Notamacropus eugenii: one gene and its partners. The protein of the gene in region 2 purifies or fractionates together with the protein of the main gene of each other region. This does not show direct contact. Links are inferred from orthologs where the notes say so. Each region holds a gene or a part of one and is shown on either strand. Other genes may lie near its edges.

Region 1 (7,997 bases), on a different chromosome or scaffold from region 2:
CCTAAACTACCTTATGTTATTTTGGATCCATTCTATATACACATATGTATACTTGTTTGTTCTGTTGCATGAATTCTTTTAGGATCTTAACTAGCCCCTGGCAATAAAACAGCAAAGGAAACAGACATAGGAAAAACTGCAATTTATTTACTCCGAGAAAGACTCACTCCAGCAATAGATGATGAACACGTATGTTTGTTACAACTCAACTAACGATACTTATACCAGTCTATCATTCATGTAATACGTGAGACAATGTTCTGCTTATTACAGAACAGGGTTGTTCAGAACATAGAAGAAGAAGAAGTATTTGTTATAACAAAAGAAGACGTTAATCACTTATTAGAAAAGGAGGAATGTGCCCTTGTTAGCATAGCTATTCACAACAGATCAAAGGGAACCCTACATCACCTGCCAGACAAATCAAGGCTATTGGAGTCCTTCTTTGCAAAAGCAAACAAACAAAAATCCTTTTATAGTAACTAAAGTCTGACATTCAATTAAAGGAGACATTCAAGGAAGTCTAGCAATATTACACACTAAGGCAATACATGGTAAAATGGTGATTACAGATTGGAGTTAATTATGTCAGCTCCGGAAAGACCAGTTAGTTCCCCCAAAATTCACTTTTGACACTCCTGATAGAATGTAAATTGAAAGCAGTAACTTAGTCCAATTTTTGTTCAGTCATTTTTTTTTTAGCCATGCCCAACTCTTCATGACCCCATTTGGAGTTTTCTTGGCAGAGATACTGAAGTGATTTGCCATTTCCTTTACAGATGAGGAAACTGAGGCAAACGGGGTTAAGTGACTTGCCCAGTGGCACACAGCTAGTAAGTGTCTGAGGCCAGATTTGAACTTAAGAAGATGAGTTTTCCTGACTCCAGTCTCCACACTCTATCCATTGCACCATCTAGGTAGTCAGCACAGAATCTAGTACTTTTAAAAATGTTTGTTGATTGATTGATGTGTGCAGACAGAGTTAACTTCTTCTCTTCTTGACTCTTCTAGAACCCCAAACTTTTCTAGGATGATGTCAAATAAGAGTAGGGATAGAAGATAAGTTCATTTGAGTTCTGTATTTATTAGGCCAGTTTCTAGTGCTTCCCCATGGCAAAAAAAGGCTGACTTTCAGATTAACATACATACTTTTTTTCATAATAAAAAGTGGCCCTTCTATACCAATACTTTAAATGTATTTTTTAAATTTAAATGAATGTTTTACTTTGTTAAAGGTTTTGTCCACACCTATTTCTATAATGATATAGCTTTTATGGGAACAGATTTTGGACCACACATGCAATTTCATTAGTATATGGAAGACCTCATGAGGAAAATCCCTCTCTGAATTCAGATCATCATCTGGTCTGCAACCTAGAGTATAAGAGAGCTAAAGGTTAAGTGTCTTGCCCAAGGTTGCATGTCCCATCACATGTCAGAGACAAGACTTCCACTCAGGTTTTCCCGATTTTGAAGGTCTTCTTGAGTCTGAATCATGCTGCCTTTCTTTGTTTTTCAATATAATTAATATTTTTTCTTTTTCTAATTTTGAACCATCTTAGCATCCCTGGCATAAAGTCAATTGTTTCATAGTAAATAGTTTTTTGTCTATGTTGCTATCGTCTTTTGGCTGGAATTTACTTTAGTTTTAATAAATATTCATTAGTCATATTAGTCTATAGCTCTCTTTCTTTGCTTTATCCTTTATGGTTTAGGATCAGAATTTGATAAGTTTGCTTAATTTTTGAGAATAATTTATGTATCATGGACATTCTTTCTTTTTTTGTTTGATGAAATTTACCTTGGCCAAAGTGTTTCTTTATAGAAAATAGATAGGTGGGGAAAGACAGACAGACAGACAGACAGACAGAGAAAGTTTGATAGTTCCTTTATGCCTTTTTCAATTTCATTTCCTACGATTGGGTTGTTTAAGATTTCTATTTGAAGTTCAGTTAATTCAAGTATTTTATGTTTTAATAGATAATCTATTTCATTTAAAGTCTCTTGTCTTTGATAGTATATAATTGTGTGAAGTGATTCTGATTATATTTTTTTTAAATTCTGCTCTGTTATAATTTCACTTTACTTGATTTTTTTATTCTGATCATTTTATTTCCCTCCCTCTTTTTTTTGATAACTAGGAAAATAACCTTAGCTAAAGGTTTGTTGATTGTATATTTTCAATGGTGCTATTTTTAGGTTTATCATCTTTGTTTTCCACTTTCTCTTTCAATATTTACTCTTTTTTTGCTTTTTTTGTGTTTATTGTTGATTTTCTAGTTTCTAAATGCACATTGTCTTTCTCTTTCTGTCTCTATTTATCTGTCTCTCTCTCCCTTCTTCCAGAATGATGGAGAGGCAGGAAGGGGGAGCTGTTGGGCTGCATGGACAGAGGAACACTCAAGAAATGACTCTCAAAGGTGACACTTGAACATTATTTTTTACCTTATCTACTTATTTTTTTTCTCCAATTCTTCTTTCCTTCTGTTCTCTATGATTCCTTTGGACTTTCTGTCCCTCTTTTCATCACAACTCATCACCAGCAAAACATGGTCTTTCAAGCAATCACCAAAGACTCTAGAGCATGAGTGGGATATCTCTGTTTTATGGACTAAATTTGACCTTCAGCTTAATTTTGTCCGGCCTCCTGGACACAAAGAGATCATTCCACCTATACCTGGTGACATAGTGGTTGCATTCATAGTTAGTAAAAGAAATAAAAGAAGTGTTCATTCTTTCTTCCTCCTTTAGGAGGTACAAAGAAATTCCTGATCAATGTTAGGGGTTATAGAGAGACTCAGACACACCCCTTCCATTGAATGAATAAATAATTGACTTGTCAGCATGTGTGTGGTGCCTTGTTTGTTGTTTTGCCCAAGAAGATTATATGTGCCTACATGGGTCCATAAAGATGTAGTTCATAGATAATCAAGAATAGGTATCTCTAATCTCCCCTGCCCCACTCCTTAAGCTCTTCTCTAAGGAAGACTTTGAATCTTCCTCAGGGAGAAGAAACAGGAGATTAGGGCCTGAGACCCGCCACTCTGGTCTCCTCAAAGAAAGAACACTGGGATAGAACCATATTTTTCTGTTCCTCTAAATATTGTTAGTCTAAAGGGGATATATTTTAGGTTCAAGCTCCTGATTGTTCTCTTAATAGACGAGTGTTCCAAAGCTCTGTATCCAAGATTTGACTCCCTTGCCAACAAATATCAGTTCCACAAGGAGCAAATAAACCCATTTACCTGAGTCTATAACAAAAGAGAAATCAGAAAAAAATATTCACAGGAGAAAACATACCAGACAATACAGAGTAAATGAACTCTCCCAATGGGAGCGAAAAATCTCAGCTCAACTTAAAGAGTCTCAGATCTCACCCTAAGGGAAATTCCCTGAAATCCCTAGTGTATTAAGTTGAGGATAGGAACATAATAGAGAGTGCCAGCTCTGCAATATGTTGGTTGCTTTCCAGAGTCTTTCACTCGCTTCAGGGATCTGAAGGGAGTTTAGAACAAATCTGGAAGCCAGAAGACCAGGATCTTTCCCTTCTCAGACTCCCACCAATCCCTCCCCTCAAGCAGGCATGAACCACTGTGTAATCAATTTTCACTAATGAGAGGACCCTTTGAGTCACAGGTTTTTAGAATGAATAAATGAAAAAGCATTTATGTAAAATGAAAAAGCACTTACTATGTTCAAAGTTCTTTCCTAAGCTTTGGGGATAAAAATAGAAAAGGAGCTCACATTCTAAAGGGGGAAAGGACAGTACATATGGGAAGTTTCAGCTACAAGTCAAATGGAAAAGCATGGTAGGTTCTTAGGGTACAGGAACATGGCAAATGATAAGGAATCTCCTTTAGTGTCCTTTTCATTGATAAAACCATATCTGTTCCTAATTTTTTAAAGACATTTATTCACCATCATGATCGGACTATTACATTTAGCAATCAATAATATGCAAACAAAAAAAGATCTACATTAAAACCCTTTGTGGGAATACTTTCCACAGAACAGAGACTAAAATAACCTGTTATGTAATTAAGTCACAAATGCAGTCCTGCAAATAGCAGAAACAGAACTAGGGATCCAAATTCGTAGAAATTCTCAAAATGTGTGTATACACACAGATATGCTGTATAGTATCATACATTTTTGGATAACAGGAATCTAAGATGCTTTGATTTGTAATGCATGGACCCATTGGCTAGCAGCGTTTCTAAAATTATAACAGCGGTCTCCAACCTACTTTGGGTCATGGACCCCTTTGTCAGTCTGATGAAACCTATGGAGCCTTTTCTCTGAATGTTTTCAAATGCAAAAAACAAAATACATATAATTACAAAGAAAACCATTTATATTGAAATAAAAAGGTAATTTTTTTCCCATCCAACTTCAAAATCTATTCACAGACAAGTTCCATGGATCTCAAATTATGAACTCATGCTCTACAATAATAACAGTAAGCAGTAAACCTCTATGGTTTGCAAAGGGCTTTACATATACTATCCCATTTGATTCCCATAATGACCCCGTGAGGTCAGTGTTGTAGCAAAATAAAAGTAATTTGGGCAAGAATGTATACATATATATGTATACACACACACACACATATACACACATATACACGTACACATATACACACACACACATATATACACATATGGATGTATATATATATATATATATATATATATATATAGAAAGAGAAATACACATCTGGCTAAAGTAGCAAAGGCTGAATAGGGACACTACTACTATGCTTTACACCCAGTAAGGCCTTTAACAATCACAAGAAAGAATGTGAAAGCATGATATCCTTTTCGCAATGAAGAAACTGAAGCTGAGAGGGTTAAGTGACTAGTCCCGGGCGCCGGACAGAAAGCCCGCCCCCCGCCCTACGTAGTTGGCCCCGCCCCCGCTCCTGACAGCGAGGGGCGGTTCTTAGGAGACGCAGGTCAGCGCCCGGGCAGGAGCGCCGTGCGCAAGCGCAAGGCCGAGGCCCTCGGTCTGCGGAGCCAAGGGAAGACTCTCCCGAGGCTGTCGGAAGCGGCGCGGGTGTTTTTCGCTTACGGAAGTGAAGTCAGCGGCAGTGGGCGGAAGACCCGGAACCGGCGGCGGCGTAGGCATCGGTGAGTGGCGTGGCTGCGGGGCCGCCTTGGCCCGGTTCTCCGCTATGAGCTGCACGATCGAGAAGATCCTGACGGACGCCAAGACGCTTCTGGAGCGGCTGCGGGAGCACGACGCGGCCGCCGAGTCCCTGGTGGATCAGTCGGCCGCCCTGCACCGGCGGGTGGCTGCGATGAGGGAGGCGGGCGCCGCGCTGCCGGACCAGGTCAGCCCTAGGCCCGGGGGCCGGGCGGGAGGTGGGGGGTCCTCCCTGCCCGGATGGGCCGGACTCCTTCCGCTCTAGCCTGACTTGGGCGGGGGTTGGTCTGTCTGTTTACCAGTACCAGGAGGATGCCGCGGACCTGAAGGACGCGTCCAGATACAAGCCTCACATCCTGCTGTCCCAGGAGAACACGCAGATCCGAGACCTGCAGCAGGAGAACCGAGGTGAGCGCAGCAGCCTTTCTCCCCCAAATGCCACGCTTTCGAACCCACAGTTTAGGCCAGCTTATTCCCCACGCAGGCCACGAACGGGAGTACAGTGCAGCACCTCCCAACTGGTGAGTTTAATAAGCAAGTCTGTTGCTAAATAACAGTCTTCGTAGAAAATAGGAACAGTCAATAGATGATCCTTTTCAGTATTGTAGGTAATGGAGAAGTCTTAATTTAGTAAGTACTGTTCAAGGGTGTTTTTTAACCCGTTATTACGAATGTGAATATGATCTTATTGAACAAATATGAGTTGTTTCTGCGAAGGACAGTACTTTCAGATGAATTCAGTTCACTATTCTAAAGCAGTGACTTCCTACTTCTTGGTGAAATCCTTAAAATGTTATTCAACTTTACTTAAATTTAAATGTGTGTATGTGTATCTATAGGTGTATATACATACATACATGTGTATATAAACATAGATATACCATAGAGTATCATAAATTTTTGTTGAAGAGGAATCTAAAGTGCTTTGATTAGTAATGTATGGAACATTAGCTAAAATTATAGGCACCATTAGTCGGGGTAAATATGCTGTTAAGTTTTTCAGTCTCCGATGGGGTGGAGATTCTTCACTGTCTCAGATATCACTGCCAATTTATTTTACTTATTCTTTGATAGAGTTGTGGATTTCCTTGGAGGAACACCAGGATGCTTTGGAACTCATCATGAGCAAGTACAGAAAACAGATGCTACAATTAATGATTGCTAAAAAAGCAGTGGATGCTGAACCTGTCTTGAAAGCCCACCAGTCTCATTCTTTAGTAAGAAGTTTCACAATAAATATCTGTTAAATTGAATTGAATCTAGAAATTGTTTTTATAAATTTCTTGCCCTATAGAGAGCTTTCTTAAGGAGTTTAACTCAGAAAGAGAAATATAAAGGATAAGAACTGGCAGGGATAGTAGGATTTTTTTTTCCTCAAGAAAAGTTATCTTTCTTTTTATGTTTATCACTTTATTGTTAATGTTTTAATAATATCCTTGCTCTGAGGCCTGTGTTTGCTATGATTTTATACCATAAAAGAGTGGTAAATATGAAAGAGAAGAATCAATAGCGGAAATAATTGCATTCTTATGGACTGTTTATGGAGGTCAGAGCTGTGTATTTACTTTACCCTGAATGATATCAAGTGTTTGTAAGACCTTTCACTGTAGTCATTCAAAAAGCTTTTTTTTTTTTTTTTTTAAGCTCTTACAGAGTATACAGTATTTGACCAGGTGGGAAGTACTCAGTGAATCCTTAATGACTCAGGGAGGAGAGAGTGGAAGAAATACAGCTTCTATTCAAGTACTTGAGGAATTTGTCATTTAGCTGGAGAAAGCCAATACATAGGAACTTGAAGAGCATTTGCTATAGATTACAGTATAGTGTGAGACAGAGACAGACCCCTTCAAGACAAGAAGGGTTAGAAAGATATGGGCATGTAGATATGGAAAGGTCCAGCCATTGATTAGATAGGTGAGATATTGATTAACTGGGATGATGTTACTCAGTCTTCTCATAAGCATTTTACTTTTTGTTTTGTTTGTTATTCTTCCTACAGGCAGTGCAGAATTAATATACTTAATATCTTAACAGGAAATTGAAAGTCAGATTGATAGAATCTGTGAAATGGGAGAAGTGATGAGGAAAGCTGTTCAGGTGGATGACGACCAGTTTTGCAAGATTCAGGAAAAACTAGCCCAACTGGAGGTAAGAATATTGTTTTTGCTATCAGAAAAGTATATCTTTCAGTCATAGCACCTTAATGATGATGTCTCAGCAGATGACTCTCAAATCTGTGTATGCAACCCTAATCTCTCTCTTGAACTCTGGTCCTATACTGCTAACTGCCTGGTGTCCCGTAGGCATTTTAAACTCAACATGTCCAACTATCTTTCCCCAAAAATCTATTCCTCCTTCATACTACTTTGGTTTCTTTTGAGGGCACTACCATCCTTATGGGCTGTAGTCTCAGTTTTGGAGAAAATGACTTGACTTCCACGAACAAATCCAGTGACTTGTCAAGTCTTGCTGTTTCCCCCTCCTCTTCACTGTCTCCTCCCTGTCAGTTAACAAGGATTCACTGAGTGCTTCCTAAGGCCAAACACTGTAGTAACATCTCTTTCATCTGTTCTCTTTTTTTCTCCTTCCTGTTCTACCCTCGTTCAGGATTTTATATGCTCTGATAGACTATTACAGTTGCCCTCTAACTGATACCCCTACCTGCAGATACATCCTCTAATCCGTTTTCCACATACCCCTTACTCAAAACTCTCTGATGGCCCCCTGTTTCCTCTATAAAACACATTTAAAGAATGCTACAACTAGCACCCACCTACCATTCCAGTTTTATTTCATAGGATTTCTCTTACCATACTTTCTTTAGTTGTTCACTGTATTGATATTCCAACTCT
Region 2 (7,145 bases):
AAAGGAAATGGCAAAGCATTCTAGGATCTTTGCTGCCAAGAAAACCTCAAACGGGATCACGAAGAGTCATATATGACTCAGCAACATCAACATCTCTCACTCCAGACACAGTGCTTTTCCCCAGTGTACTAGATGTTGCTCTCTTTCCCTTTCCCTTACTATCCAATTAGAATGATTCATATCAAATGTAGTAGATTGGCTACAAGGCCTGGGCTTCAGAAATCTGAGTCCAAGCGCCAACTCTGCCACTTATGATGTTACCTTTCCAAGCCTCAGTTTCTTCATCTGTTCTTCTGTGCAATATGAATAGTGGGCTCTGTATACTTTGACACTATGAAATATTTCCCCTCTGAAATGTTCAATGATGCAACGAAAACATACTTGATGATTTTTGCAGGTTAACTTCCAGTTTGTTCCAAAATTTCCTTGACAAAACCCCTCCTCCTTTTCTCTTTGGGTTATTTGATGTCTTCAGACCTCCTGGGCCAGTATTTATGGACTGCTGTGGCTACACAAGTTTAGGAAATTAGGTAATGGGAAGCTATTATAAATTCTGAAGAGTGTGGTCTTTTAGAAAGAATGTATTTTAGGATGATTAATCTCAGATAAGGATGAATTAGAGGTGGGAGAGAACAGAGTCAGGGAGACCAGCTCAGTGACTATTAAAAGTAATTGAAGTGTGATGTGACTAGGGGTGGTTGAAGTAGGAACATTCATATCAAAAAGTATGGTCAGTCCAAGTCAGTTAGGTAAATAAATGTGAAGTCCAGCATCACAAGGTTAATTTAATACAGAGTATTATCCTTTATTAAATACATATAGAAGCTAAAGGAAGCTAGATTTGCTCTCAAAGGGCCTTAGTTAGAATCCTAACTCTACCTATCTCTCTACCTACGTGACCTTACCTTGGATAAGGGAGGGAGAGTTAGTGTATGACATTTTGTTTGCAGATGATTGTGCACTCAATGCAGCCTCTGAGGTTGAGATACAACAAAGTATGGATTGATTCTCTGATGCTTCTGCTTCAGCCAGCACCACACCATCCATATGTGGAACCATCAGCAAATGGAGAAATTTTGAATGCTGGGGATAAATTCATTTACCTTGGCAGTATACATTCCAGGCATGTGCACATTGATCATAAGGTTGACACACTCATTGCCAGAGCTAGCTCAGTGTTTGAGCAGCTCCGAAGGAAAGCATGAGAGATAAGAGGTATTCGGCTGTCTACCAGACTGAAGGTCTACGGAGCCACTGGGCTGACCTCATTATTGTATGCCTATGAAATCCAGACAGTCTACCAGCACCATGTCAGGAAATGGAATGGCTTCCATTCAAATTGTCTTAGGAGGATTTGAAGATCACCTGGCAAGATAAAGTACCAGACACTGAGGTTCTCTCTCAAGCTGAACTGTTAAGCATTCAAACTGTACTGCAGAAAAAACTCAGCTCTGATGGGCTGGCCAAACATTTGCGTAAAAGATTATTTTATGGAGAACTCACACAAGGTAAACACTCATATGGAGGTCAGAAGCAGTGATACAAAGACACTCTCAAGGTCTCTCTGAAGAACGTTGGAATCAGTAGGGAGACATGAGAGACACTGGCCCAGGACCACCTAGCATGGTGTGCCCACATCAAAGAAGGCACTGTGCTCTATGAGTAAAGCAGAAATGTAATAGCTCAAATGAAGCATGTGATAAACAAATTTAGAGACATCTCTACTGCAAATGCTCATATGAAATGTGGCAGAGCATTCCGAGCAGCCAGCAGTCAGACACACCCCAACATATAGTGATGGCATTTTGGTCCTCTTCAAGAATGAGAGATGACAGCCAACCACCTTGGGCAAGTGACCTGACATCTCTGGACCAGAGTTTCCTCCTTTGTCTAATAAGTAAGTTCGACTATATGCGTCATAAAGAAGGTCGCTTTCAGCTATAAATCTGTGATCAGGTAATCTGTTAGGAACTTTGATGTATCCCCCAAAACCTGAACTTCCTCTTCCTCCTGGCAGCCCTTCCATATCTTAGCAGACAGCCTTTATGAATTGCTGTAGCCAAAAACATCGAGCATAGTCAACCTTTTGTTTGATGGGCCTTTACTTAGGCTGGGCCTTCACACTTAAACTACAAGCCCTTTATTGGATTTGGCTTTAAATTTCAGGCTTGTTAGTACCTTGTTCTGCTGGAATAGTTTTTGAGAACACAGGGTCGGGTCACCTGGGAAATAAAATTTTATCCAATTGATCTTAAAAATTGCCTGTTTTCCCTCAAGTGTGAAATTGAGGTAGTAAGAGTGAGGTCTGAGCAAGGAGCTATGCTTATGTGTGTGCTACCTATGTCTGTGTGTGCCTAGTAATCTTGCCCATAGATGGTGAGGTCCTCTAGATACTACTGTTTGCTGGGGAAATTGTGCTGATTGCATCCAAATTGCCTAGCATTAGAGGTCTTTTTCAGTGAGATCCATGGTTACTCAAAAGGGCTCAGCCTAACACTTTAGAGAATATAAACCAAATGGATAAAAAATGCTTATTGTCCAGATAACATGCAGTTGGATGGCCTGTACATTAAGTCATCCATTAACACATATATCCTATACCCTTATAGGGGTTGCTGATGGACAATAACTTGAATCCAAGAGGAAAAGAGTGGGCTGAACTCCATTTGGGAAATTGAATAGTGCTTTTAAAGACTCTAAGGTACTATATGGTTAAAAAAAATTATTTTTAAAGACCCTTTTAACATATGCTAGAATAGATGCTGGTCTGCTCTAGAACCAAAGACATGCCCTGAGGGATATTACTGAGTCAAAGTATGACCAGAGAAGGTGTGAGCAATGTGGTGGGAACCAGGGCCATCTCACATGCTTCACTGGTATAGTCAGATGGCACAGAGAAAGCAAGAAAGGACCCACACCTTTTGCAGGAGGGGTAGAATCCCTGTGGTGATCCTATGGGAGGGCAAAGAACAGATTAACATAAGATGGGCAAAGGTGGATCAGTTGTGATTAGCGCTGTTGAAGGGAATATTCCATATAGTGGCCTACTGAAGGAGTGACCCTGGACGAGTCACTTGTTCTCCGAAGGGTTTAGTTTCGCTCTACTCTAAAATGAGGGGGAGCTGAACTCTGTAAGGACCCTTTCCCATGTGACATGTGATCTTAGCACCCAATCTCATGGCACTTCTTCACCCAAAAGCCCTGACGGGGCAAAAGAAGGTCACAGTGGGGAGAGTTCTTTCCCTCCAATTGGGCATTAGCAAGTGGCCTGAAAGTGGGCGAGGCTGAGTATGCTAAGCCCGGGGTTCTCGTTTGCTCTCGAGGCTCTGGCCGCTCGGGCGGCGGCAGCATCCACTCCACCTTAAGATCCTGCCTCTAGAGGTGATCTTGCCTCGCGTCGTGTCCCCTGCCCTCAGGGCGCCGGACCCTTCCGCCAGGGTTTCCCCCCTCCCCGAGGTCCAATTTCTTGGGAACCGCCAGAGTGGGGGCGCTTCTTAGAATCCCTGAAGCGCCTAGGGGCATCCCGTAGCGTCCCGTCCCGTCCCGTCCCGTCCGGTCCGGTTCCGCTCCGTTCCGTCCCGGAGGGCCAGGGCCAGGGGCAGGGCTCGCTGCTGGCCCGCCCTTCGCCCGCCCCTCGGGCCGGCCAGCCGCCGTTGGCGCCGCCTCCCAGCCTGCCAAAAGCGGCGAGGCGCCGGCGGACGGCATCACTGGAGCCCGCGCTGCCGCACCGCCCCGCACACGCAGCGCCGCGCGCCAGGCGGCCCGAGGCGAGCTCAGCCGAGGCAGCGCAGAGCGCAGCTCATCCGGACGGCGGCGGCGGCGGCGGCGGCGTCGGAAACAGCAGCGGCGGGAGCCGGAGCCGGAGCCGGAGCCGCAGCGGCGGCGGCGGCGGCGGCGGCGGCTGCGCAGGGAGCTCTCCCGCTCTCCTGTTCGCGCTCGGTCCCCGGGGCACGCGGACTCGGCCGGTGAGGAGGCTGAGGCGCCCGCAGCCGCGCAGCGCCCCTCACCTGCGCAGCCCTCCCCTCTTCTCTGTCCCGGGCCACTCACCGGCGACACGCCGCGCTCATCCGCTCCCCCAGGCCGCGGTGCCGGCGCCGGCGCCGCAGCCGCCAGGGCAGGCCCGCGAGGGAAGCCGGCCCGAGAGGACCGCGCCGCCGCTGCAGCCGCCGCCGCCGCCGCCCCCGCCATGGCGCACTCGCCGGTGGCCGTGCAAGTGCCCGGGATGCAGGTGAGGAGGCCCAGGCCGCCGGGGCGGCCCGACGCGGCCCAGGGGATCGGGGGTGTCTCTGGGGCTCCCCGCAGGGAGGCAGGGCCGGGGGTGGGAGGACGGCACGAGCGAGGGGGCGTACGACGGCAGGGGCTGGGATGCAGTGGAATGGGGGCCTCGATTCCGGGCACCTGCTCCCGCCGTGGGACGAAGGCAAGGTCGGGGGCTGCGGGCGGGAGGCTGCGGCAACCCCTCGGTGGGGGTCTGGGCCCCACGGCCCTTCCCCAGGAGTCGGGCCGGGCCGGGCCAGGGGTGGCGGAGGAGACGCTGAACTAACTGGGCTCTTCCTGTGGGTAGAAGAGGTGACTCTCTCTTTTTCCTTTCATTTTGGAGCTGCTGCTTCAACGGTGAAGTCTCATCCCCCTTCGCCACCTGGAAATCCGAGCTCCGGCCCGATTTCGGGGAGCCCTTCTCCGCCCCCACCTCCGTCCCCCACTCCCTCCCCTCCCCCATTTCCTAAGGGAAAGAGAAGTTTGTGCCCTGGGTAGCAGAGGACGCGTGTGCGGGACGAATATGTATTTGTACGTTATCATTCATCATGCACCCTCCCCTCCCCCCTTGACAAAATAATAATAACAAAAAGCAACAACCCACAAACACCTTCGCTTTCTTACAAAAGCAAAGTTGTTAAGCCTTTGGAAAGCCGTTGAGGAAGACAGTTAAGACATTTGGGACTGCATTTCAGGCTAGTTAGTGAAAACTGTCCAAGTCTGAACTAGTTTCTCTAAATAAGCATACACCTCTTCCTTAAACGCTCCCCCCCCCCCCCCCCCATTGCTCCAGAACTCTTTTCAGAGGCCAAGAACTTGAAAGCCTCAGTCCCTCCTCTTGTAACAGTAAGAAAACTTTTTAAAGTTCAGAAAAATGTGTTAGAGTAGTAGGCAGCCCACATTTCCAGAAACATTCCTGACCATGGATTTTCAGCCACCTGTAAAGTTTCCTTTAAAGTTTTATTGGGATTTGAATGTCATTTTATTTATCCTCTTTTATGCAAGTTCACAGAGATTTTTTTAAAGTCCTTCAAAAGGAAAAGTAATTTCTATTGTGTATATATCTAACTAGGTTTTAGCAGGGTTTCCTAATGACTAGGCCTTTTAGATAAATTCAGGGAGACTTCAGTGCCTAGTCTCAAGTTTTTACTCTTATTTTTGAGAAAATAACAGACTGAGCTCTCCTAAATTTAATCGTTTCACATCTTGTGAATTGCTCAGTCATTTCTTTAAAAATAAAACGATTTCTACTTTGGTTTATATAAAGCAAGGGCACCTTTTAACAATTCTGTTTTTATACCTGTGATTGTTATTACTATTCATAAAGTTTGGGAATCTCAGAAGTTCAGTAAGTGCTGAGGCATTCCGTGTTTCCAAATGGCTTTAAACTTGTCCTATAAATTAGTTAGCCACTCATTTTCAATGTTTATCCTCTTAGCTGCTTTTCCAGTACATAAGTGATTCAGATTAATGTTCCTTTTTCCTCAATTACAAATTGCACCCCTGTTTCTCCCCACAGAGATTGTAGTCTCATGACTCTTAAATGGATTTTTACCCCCAAATCAGTACTAGGAACACAAAAAAGATCACTTATCTGCCTCTTTTTCCTTAATGAAATTTTAAGTTCTCCACTCTTTCCGCCACCCCCCCCCCCAACATAGTTCTTAAGCTCTTGCTTTCCACAGTTAAGTTTGTACACTGCCCTAAAAATAAATATCTGACTGCATGAGCATAACTCTTAGGTCCAAGCTACTTTGAATATTCATTGTGTGATGTTGTAGATGAAGTACTTACATAGCAGAAGGGTTATTATTTTGTAAAATACAGTTAGGGAGATGTATGGAAAGTTTTCAGACATACAGTGCTAAAGAAACTTCAAAGTTAATCATATGTTTTAGAAATTACATTTTTAAAAAAGCAGATCAAGACAATTGCTCTTATAACTTTCTCCTTTAAAAAATTTTTAAAAACAGTTTAAGGAAGTTAGGAGCAAGAATTTTTCCAGAAAGTAAGTGCTCCTGGTTCACTGGCCCCAAACTGGACATTGAAATCGAACTACCTGTTCTATCTTTTAAGTCTGACCGACATTCCTGACTTTAAGATAAAGGAATTTGTGTCACTGGTTTAAAAAAAAAACTTTGAAGAAGACATAGAAATTGTTTCAGTTCTGATACTTCAGTTACTAAACCTCATAATACTTAGGTTGACAGGTTAAACTTTTCTTTTTCCAATGTTTATCTTGTACAAGACTGTCTGTATAGGTCCTCTTAAATTTAAATTTTTATTTGGTCTTGCAATTAGAAGCATTTTTTTCCTATGTTAAGAACCTAAAAGTATAGCACCACTTTTATTATTAAAATAATGTCAGTTTTCACTCCAACGTTGTTTGTTTAACCTGTAGTTGTTAATCTGTGCTGTTCTGTGACACCACTTTCCTCTGGTTCTTGAGGCAACGTGGCATAATGGTTATATTCTGAGAATTAAGAAGACCTTGATTTGAAAATTGCATTGAGATGTTAGCTGTATGATCCTGGTCAAATCACTAAATCTCATTGAGTCTCACTTTTTGTTAAATGGGGTTAACAATGAGGTAATGAGAGTACCTGCCGTATGGGCTTGAAGTGATGATTTAGTGAGGGAATGTATGTAAATCTTGCAAATCTTAAAGCTCTGTATAAATGGGTGCCATAGAAAAGGAGAAAAACGATGGCCTCTGCCTTCAAGGAACTCACATTTCAATTCATCTGGTCATATATAGAATACACACACATACACTGTAAATGGCAAGTCATCTCAGATGGAAAGTGCCGACAGTGGGTGGGACTGAAAGGTCTGCAGCAGGGGGCTTGGCGTTCAGGCAGAGATGACAGTGGTGAGCATTTTTGGCA
Region 3 (7,480 bases), on a different chromosome or scaffold from region 2:
GCCTCATCTTATCAAAGAGTTATCTTGGTAGGTCTACACCAAGGTGACAGGTTCTCAGTCTTTCTCTGAGATGAACAAGACCAAACAGGTGCTGTAATGATGACCAAGACATACAAAATGCCAGTTTTTATTTACTCTGCCAAATAATCCAATAGCGTGATGGGCCTTGGCAATTCATTTCTTTGGCTTTATGTCTGTCATCTTTTTTTGTTCTGCATCTTGATGAGCCTGATCATTCCCTTTGAGTTTCTGTAGCTCTAGTTGAGGCGCCCATGTATTAATCTCTCCATATACTTCTCTATGTACATAGTAAACAACTCTCCAAGTGCTTCCAACCAGCCTCAGATCTTTTTTGCTCTTTCTGATGATTTTTGAGAACAATCTTTAAATAGATCTCTGTAGAAGGATTGAAGGCTCCAAATCTACAACTCACAAATCATTACCCTGGGGAAGTTTAAAATGTACTTTGTAATTGGAATTGACTTTCTCAGTATCCCCTCCACTTTGCACAGTTGGCTGTATAACCTGGGGCAAGTCACTTAAGCTCTTAGTGCCTCTGTTTCCTCACCTGGAAATGGGGATAATAATAGCACCTATTTCACTAGAGTGCAGTGAGGGTCAAATGAGATAACATCTGTAAAGTGCTTTGCCAACCTTAAGGTCCCATAGAATTGTTACCTATTATTATTATAGCACATGTTGTTCAGTAGTGTCCTGCTCTTCGAGACTTTATTTAATGTTTTCTTGGCAAAGATAGTGGTATGGCTTGCCATTTTCTTTCTCAGCTCATTTTACAGAAGAGGAAACTGAGGCAGACAAAGCTTAAGTGACTTGTCCAGTTACTTAACACCCAGCTAGTAAGTATCTGAGGTCAAATTTGAACTCAAGTCTTCATCACTGTAGGCCTAGCCTACCATGTAGCTGCCCTATTATTAGCAAATAATAGGTATTTAATGATGCTTATTGATTTGACTTAGAAGTAAAAGCAATAATAATATCTACGGGAAATGTACACCCTCTGTGACTGGTCCTAAGTAATCACTTTGTCATAACACTACACCAACATTAAGGGTAACTTACAAGTGAAAATTAAGGAAGTAACGTTAAAATGTATGATGAATTGTTACACATGCAAAGTGTTACCCTATTGGATGTCCACTGACAGTCCAATGGCACTCATGCTAATGGAAATTCCAAAATACTAACCACATACCATAAATTACAGTGAGCGGAAAGCACTGGACTAGTAGTCAGAAGGCCTGAGATTGAGTCTTGTCTCTGCCTCTCAGACTACCTTACTTTAGCGGGAGGTCACTGCACCACTCTGTAAAATGAAGAGATTGTACTACAAGATCTCTAAGAATATGGAAAGAAATAAGGGTTGGGCAAGCGGCACAGTGCTGAATTTGATCCGGAAGACCTAAAATTCAGAAAATCCTCTAGCAGACACTAGCAGTGAACCTAAGCAAATCACTCCATCGCTGTCCTCCTCCCTTTCCTCAACTGTAATAATGTAGCACCTCCCTCCCGGATTGTTGCGAGGATCAAATGAAATATGTGTTAACTGCTTAGCTCAGTGGTTATCGGCATAGAGTAGGCGCTTAATAAATGCTTTCTGGAGTGTACACTCAGAATATCCTTTACCTTAGTGGCATATGCAGTTTACCTTGTTCAACGTACTGCGATTCTGCAGGTGAACCAAACTACATCGTTTACCTTACTATATTTTCAACTATAGAAAAGATCTGCAGCATCTAATAGTGGGTGTGGATCGAGAAGAAAGGAACCAAAGGCCATTAAACCAGATTAATCATAAACCCTCCCACCACTGGACCAGGATTTTCTTGAAACACTTCCTGCCTTTTGTTTCAAGATGTACACCTTTCAAGGGGATCCAAGTATCCCAGAGCAACCGGCCAACCTTGGGTCCCTTATTCACATTCCTACAGCGCGTCCCCACGAAGGATCCTAAGTTATCCGCTGCCTGTTTGTATTCTACACACTCGGTCAAGTCCGTCAATTAGCCAACTTGGGCAGCGGCGAGGCCCCAACAAGGAGGAGGAACCTCGAATTCCCCAGGGAATTCGTGGAGGGAGTAGGGAGGTGGAGATCAAAGGCAGCAAACCCCACAAGACCGCAGCCTAAGGACCGACCTGGGCTCCCCCAAAGCGGGGACGGGAGGAGGGAGGGGCAGCTCTAAAGCCCGGGAGACTCCCTTTGCCCAGGCCAGCTACATGGGCTTCCTCCCCGGGCTGGAAGGGGAGGAAAACCAGGGCTTTCGGCTCGAGGGAGAAGCGAGGTCCGGGGGGCCGACTGCCGGGCTGGCATTGGGATGGGGAGGTCTTTTTCATTTACGGACGCAGGTGGGTGTGAGGGCACCGACCGAAATGGGGAGGGGACAGGGAGGGAGGGACCGAGTTGGGGCAGGTGGCGGGCTGGGGGGAGGGGACTGTCGGGGCTGAGAGGGGCGAGGGGCGGGGATGCGGGGAAGCCCTCTTCCAGAGAGGGGTGCAGAGGGGAGGGCTCCCCGTAGGGGGTGGATGGGGAGCGGGGGAAGGGGTCTGCGGCTGGACAGGAGCTGGGGCGGGCCCGGGGATCCCCTCAAAGGTTGGGGCGCCGCCTCCTCTAGGAATGGGGGGCGCGGGCAGAGAAGGAGGAGGGCCCCGCCCCCTCAGGGGATGGGGTGCTAGGGACCGGGGTGGGGGGAGGCCGGCAGTCCCACCCTCACCTTTCTCTCGAGACCCCGGTCTCCCCGCAATCCCCAAGTGCCCGGCCCAGTGGCTCCTACCTCTTCCCCGGCGCTTCGGGCTCCGCTCCCCGCCACCTCCGCCTCCCGCCTCCCATCCACGGTCCCTCGCCTCCCCTCCGCCTCCTTCCCTCCCCCCGCCGGGTCCGTGCCTTGACAGCCTCCCGGACCAATTGTCACCTCAGCCTCGCGGCTCGCTGACCAATGCCCGCCGGGCGGAGGCGGGGCTTCTCCAATGTCATTCAGGCTCCTCCCCGGGCCCCAAGATCCCTTTTGTTTGGGGAGAGCCGGGCAGGGATTGAGCTCGCGTCACTTCCGGCGGGAAGAGCTCTCCTCCCAGCCTGGCGCGCGGCTCGGCTCTCGCGCCCCATCCTGCTGGGCTCCATCGCCGCTCGCCGGGCCGCGGCAGGGGGCGTGCATGCCTTCGCCTGGTCCTCGACGGAGCGGGAAGGACTTGGCGTTCTTTCCCGGGATGATGTTCCCGGCTTGCAGTTGTGCCCCGCGGGGCTTGGGCTTTAGGATTCGGATTCCATCGCCCAGCTCACTAATACTCTCATTTGTGATCTCCTTCTGGTACTCACTTTAAGAACGAGACTCTTCTTTGTCCTTGGCTGCCCTAGCGGAGATGCCTTGGGAACGGCCAAGGGGGACAGCAGATCGCCCTTCCGGTCTGGACCTTGGCCTTGCCTGCAGCCAGACCCCACGTGTTGGCAGTGGGAGGGTGGTGGAAACTGAGTGTGCAGTGGGATGGTCCCATAGAATGCAAATGCCTTGAAGGCAAAGACTGATTTTTTTTTTTTTGGTACCTCCCAAGGTTTAGCGCTGTCAATAGACATGGATCCCACCATGTGCTATGGGGATACAAAGGCCAAAAAAATAATCCTACCCTCAAGGAGCTCAGGAGGGTGACAACGTGCAAGCAACTATGTGAAACCCAAATATAGATATGCAAACGTGGACATATGTCCATATGCCCGTATGTACGTAAGTGGGGAAGTAGACATAACCAATATCTTGGGAAGATTCAGAGCCTTCCATCTTCCAAAGTCCTGATTTCAAGTTCCGTCTCTTGAAGGACATTACTGATGAGATTGAATTAATCTTGGTCAGATCTTACCCCACTTGCTTGGAATTTAATCTAAGGTGGGGGAGCCCATTGTGTTCTACTCAAACTTGGGTGGAAGTAGATCCTTTGGTCTAGATAGCCCAAAGCTGCGGGTGAACTGAGTTTGGAGATAGTTTCTCTCTCCAAGGGTAACATGATGTCACTCTCAGCCCCCCATTGAACACCTCTTCTTTGAAGGGTATATGAACTGCGAGCGCACTGCCATGATTGTTTTTGCTCCAAGGGGGCCATCTGCACTGGTCCTGATCTATATCTTGCCAATGGATCCAGATATCTGAGGAGGAGAGAGTGAGGCTGGTGACTTTGCACAGACTTCCCTCTCAAATCAATTCACTTGCAAGTCATGGCATCATCTTTCTGATGTCTTGGTTCTCTTTCAGAACAAAGGTCAAACAACATCTTTGGTCTAAGAGAGACAGCCAAAGGACTATCCTTTTATTAAAAACTTGCTGACCTTATTAATAAAATGATTAAATTACCCAGAAACTATGCTTCTCAAACTTTTTAATCACCACAATATGGAACTCAATCTAATGCAAACAACTATGCAAAAACAAGATATATGCACATGTCATATATGTATATACATGCTCACATGTGTATGTGTAATACATATACACACATATCCTATGATAAACAAGAATTAACCAATAGAGGGAAAACACTAGATTTAAGAGGAATTTGGAAGGCTTCCAGTACAAAGTAGGATTTTAGCTAGGACTTGAAGGAAGTCAGGGAAGCCTGGAGGCAGAAGTGAAAAGGGAGATCACATCAGGGATGGGGGACAGCAAGTGACAATGCTCAGAGATAAGAGATGGAGTATCTCTCAGAAGAACTGCACGTAGAGTATGGAAAGTATGAGGAATTGTAAGATACAAGTAGACTGGAAAGACAAAGAAGACTGGAAAGACAAAGAAGACTGTGTGGGGTGGGGAGGGCAGGAGGGTAGATTATAAAGGGCTTTGAATGCCAGATAGATCCTGGAGGTGATAGGGAGCCATTGGAGTTAATTGAGTAGGGGATGTGGCATGATTGGAGTTGCATTTTAGGAAATCCACTTTAGTGGATGAATTGAGGATGAATTGGAGCAGGGAGAGACTTGAAGCAGACATATTCACCAGTGGGCTGTTTCAATAGTGGCCTAATTAACACCAAGAAAACACAGGTGCTCTATCAGCCATCAGCACACCATCTATACAAATGGAGAAGCTTTGAATGCTGTGGATAAGTTCACTTACCTTGGTAGTGTACTTTCCAGGGATGTACACATTGACAATGGGGTTGACGCACACATTGCCAAAACTAACTCAGTGTTTGGGAGGCTCCAAAGAAAAGTTTGGGAGAGAAGAGGTATTGGACTGACTTCCAAGCTGAAGGTCTACAGAGCTGTTGTGCTGACCTCATTGTTGTATGCCTGGGAAAAATGGACAGCCTACCAGTACCATGCCAGGAAACGGAATCATTTCCATTTGAACTGTCTTAGGAAGATTCTGAGGATCACCTGGCAGGATAAGGTATCAGATGCTGAAGTCCTTGCTTGAGCTGAACTGCCAAGTATTCAAACTATGCTTCAGAGTGTGTAACTCCTATGGGCTGGCCACGTTGTTTGAATGCAAAATGTACATTTGCGACTGTTTTATGGAGAACTCACATGGGGCAGGTGATCACATGGTGGTCAGAAGAAGTGATACAAGGATGCTCTCAAGGTCTCTCTCAAGAACTTTAGATTTGATTATGGGACTGGCACAGGACTGCTCAGCATGGCATGCCCACATCAGAAAGGGTGATGTGCTCTATGAGCAAAGCAGAATTGAGACAGCACAAAGTAAATGTAGAATGTGCAAATTTGGAGTATCTACCCCAAATGTTCACATGGACTATCTGTGCCCAACCTGTGGTAGAGCATTCTGAGCTCGTATGGGTCTGATCAGCCACAGTTGGACACACTGTAACTTGAGTTTATCATAGTAATGTCATTTTGGTCCTCGTGGAGAACCAAGGACAACAACCAACCAACTTCAATAGTCTAGGTGTGGTTAGGTGATGAAGTGGATAGAGTACCTAGAGTCAGGAAGACTCCTTTTAAGGAATTCAAATTCAGCCTCTGACACTTACTAGCTATGTAACCTTGGGCAAGTCACTTTTCCCTGTTTGCCTTAGTTTCTTCGTCTGTAAAATAAACTGGAGAAGGAAATGACAAATCAGTCACAGTATCTTTGTCAAGAAAACCCTAAATGGGGTCGTAAAGAGTTGGACATGACTGAACCCTCCCCAGCTAAATAACAGTGAGACAAGGGGGTGAATTTGAGAGATGTTGCAAAGGTAAAATCCAAAAGGTAAAAAAAGGTAAAAATGTTGCCTTGGCAACAGATTGGTGTGTGTGTGTGTGTGTGTGTGTGTGTGTGTGTGTGTGTGTGTGTGTATGTGTGAAAGAGAGAGAGAGAGGATCCAGGATGACTCTTACTTTCTTCACTTTTAAAATGAGAGAATTGGATAAGATGATCTGTACTATCCCTTCTCTCTCAACTATTTTTATGATAAATTTTTATACTTTTAAATCTGTCTCTCCCAAACTTCTATCACTCTTTCTCCTACCCCCCACACCCAGGCCAAGCATAAGGGATATGTAGATCAAAAGGACCTTAGATATACTCCAAAATCTAATCCCCGTTCTATAGTATCAGCCCTTCAAATAATTCAAGACACCTTACCAAGGGTTTCCTCCGTTTTTATGGACTGCTTGGAGCACAATCCCTGCTGGTGCTTGGAAGACCAACACTGAGTGATAGAGTAAAGATGTCGTGAGTGAAATTGCTTTTATGAGTACAATGGAGGTCAAAATCTCAGGATTCCATGATGGAAGATTACACCATCCAATCTGTTTCACCGCTATATTAATAATCACAAGAGGGACAGAGTAAGAAAGTATAGTGTAAACCTAACAGGACTAAACAGAAAAAAACTATTCAGTATGACAGCCAACTTGTTTGTGGTGGCCTAATGGTGTCACCTTGTATATGAAGGACAGCAAATTCATTCATGGATTATCTAATTCTTGGATGCTTCTGGATATAGCACAATTGGTAAGGGAAGGATGACAGAATCAGAGACCACCCTTCTCTGCCCTTTAGTCTGCTATTTGCATTCTGATTCGAGGGTCCAGGGAGGGGACTGGAACCTCAGTTACTATACTAGAGGCTGCTAGGAATATAAAAATGAATGTTATGGATCCTGACTTAAGGATTCTTATAGTAGGAAAAAGAGGGGGAAGAAAATGATTGAAATGTTCAAATGCAGGTTTTTCCAAAAGTTTTCGTGCAGTTTTAAGTTTTTAAAACTTAAAAGACTTTGGGGATACCTTGTATAGGCTAGGTGCTGGTATAGATATAGGTCCACAAATAGTTTCATTTCCTTCTCCTCCCATTTGCTCTGCAATGCAATGAGGAAGTACCACATTCCTTGACAATGGGGAGAAGCCCTGGCTATTTTCTGCCTATTCCTGAATCACCAGGAGAGCCAGCCCGGTGATTCAGTCTTTCCTCCCCACACTCGTTGCCATCGACCTCTCCACCCAACCTTTGCTCCACTGAAAGCGGGAGTGGGAGTTC

Evidence for each region.
Region 1: the proteins of STK26 (region 2) and SIKE1 purify together in Homo sapiens (affinity purification with mass spectrometry; 4 studies listed by BioGRID and IntAct, with this or other methods). This does not show direct contact. The link is inferred for Notamacropus eugenii from reciprocal best matches to the Homo sapiens genes STK26 and SIKE1.
Region 3: the proteins of STK26 (region 2) and CTTNBP2NL purify together in Homo sapiens (affinity purification with mass spectrometry; 4 studies listed by BioGRID and IntAct, with this or other methods). This does not show direct contact. The link is inferred for Notamacropus eugenii from reciprocal best matches to the Homo sapiens genes STK26 and CTTNBP2NL.

The regions. Positions count from the first base shown.
Region 1 is NC_092873.1:294,108,200-294,116,196, reverse strand, and holds the start of SIKE1 (suppressor of IKBKE 1), read left to right. Parts: upstream 1-4,987; 5' UTR 4,988-5,173; coding exon 5,174-5,332; intron 5,333-5,447; coding exon 5,448-5,553; intron 5,554-6,219; coding exon 6,220-6,362; intron 6,363-7,179; coding exon 7,180-7,293; intron 7,294-7,997.
Region 2 is NC_092879.1:53,710,401-53,717,545, forward strand, and holds the start of STK26 (serine/threonine-protein kinase 26), read left to right. Parts: upstream 1-4,109; 5' UTR 4,110-4,186; coding exon 4,187-4,228; intron 4,229-7,145. UniProt on the Homo sapiens protein: Serine/threonine-protein kinase that acts as a mediator of cell growth. Modulates apoptosis. In association with STK24 negatively regulates Golgi reorientation in polarized cell migration upon RHO activation.
Region 3 is NC_092873.1:291,455,655-291,463,134, reverse strand, and holds the start of CTTNBP2NL (CTTNBP2 N-terminal-like protein), read right to left. Parts: upstream 3,011-7,480; 5' UTR 2,927-3,010; intron 2,919-2,926; exon of another isoform or gene 2,789-2,918; intron 1-2,788. UniProt on the Homo sapiens protein: Regulates lamellipodial actin dynamics in a CTTN-dependent manner. Associates with core striatin-interacting phosphatase and kinase (STRIPAK) complex to form CTTNBP2NL-STRIPAK complexes.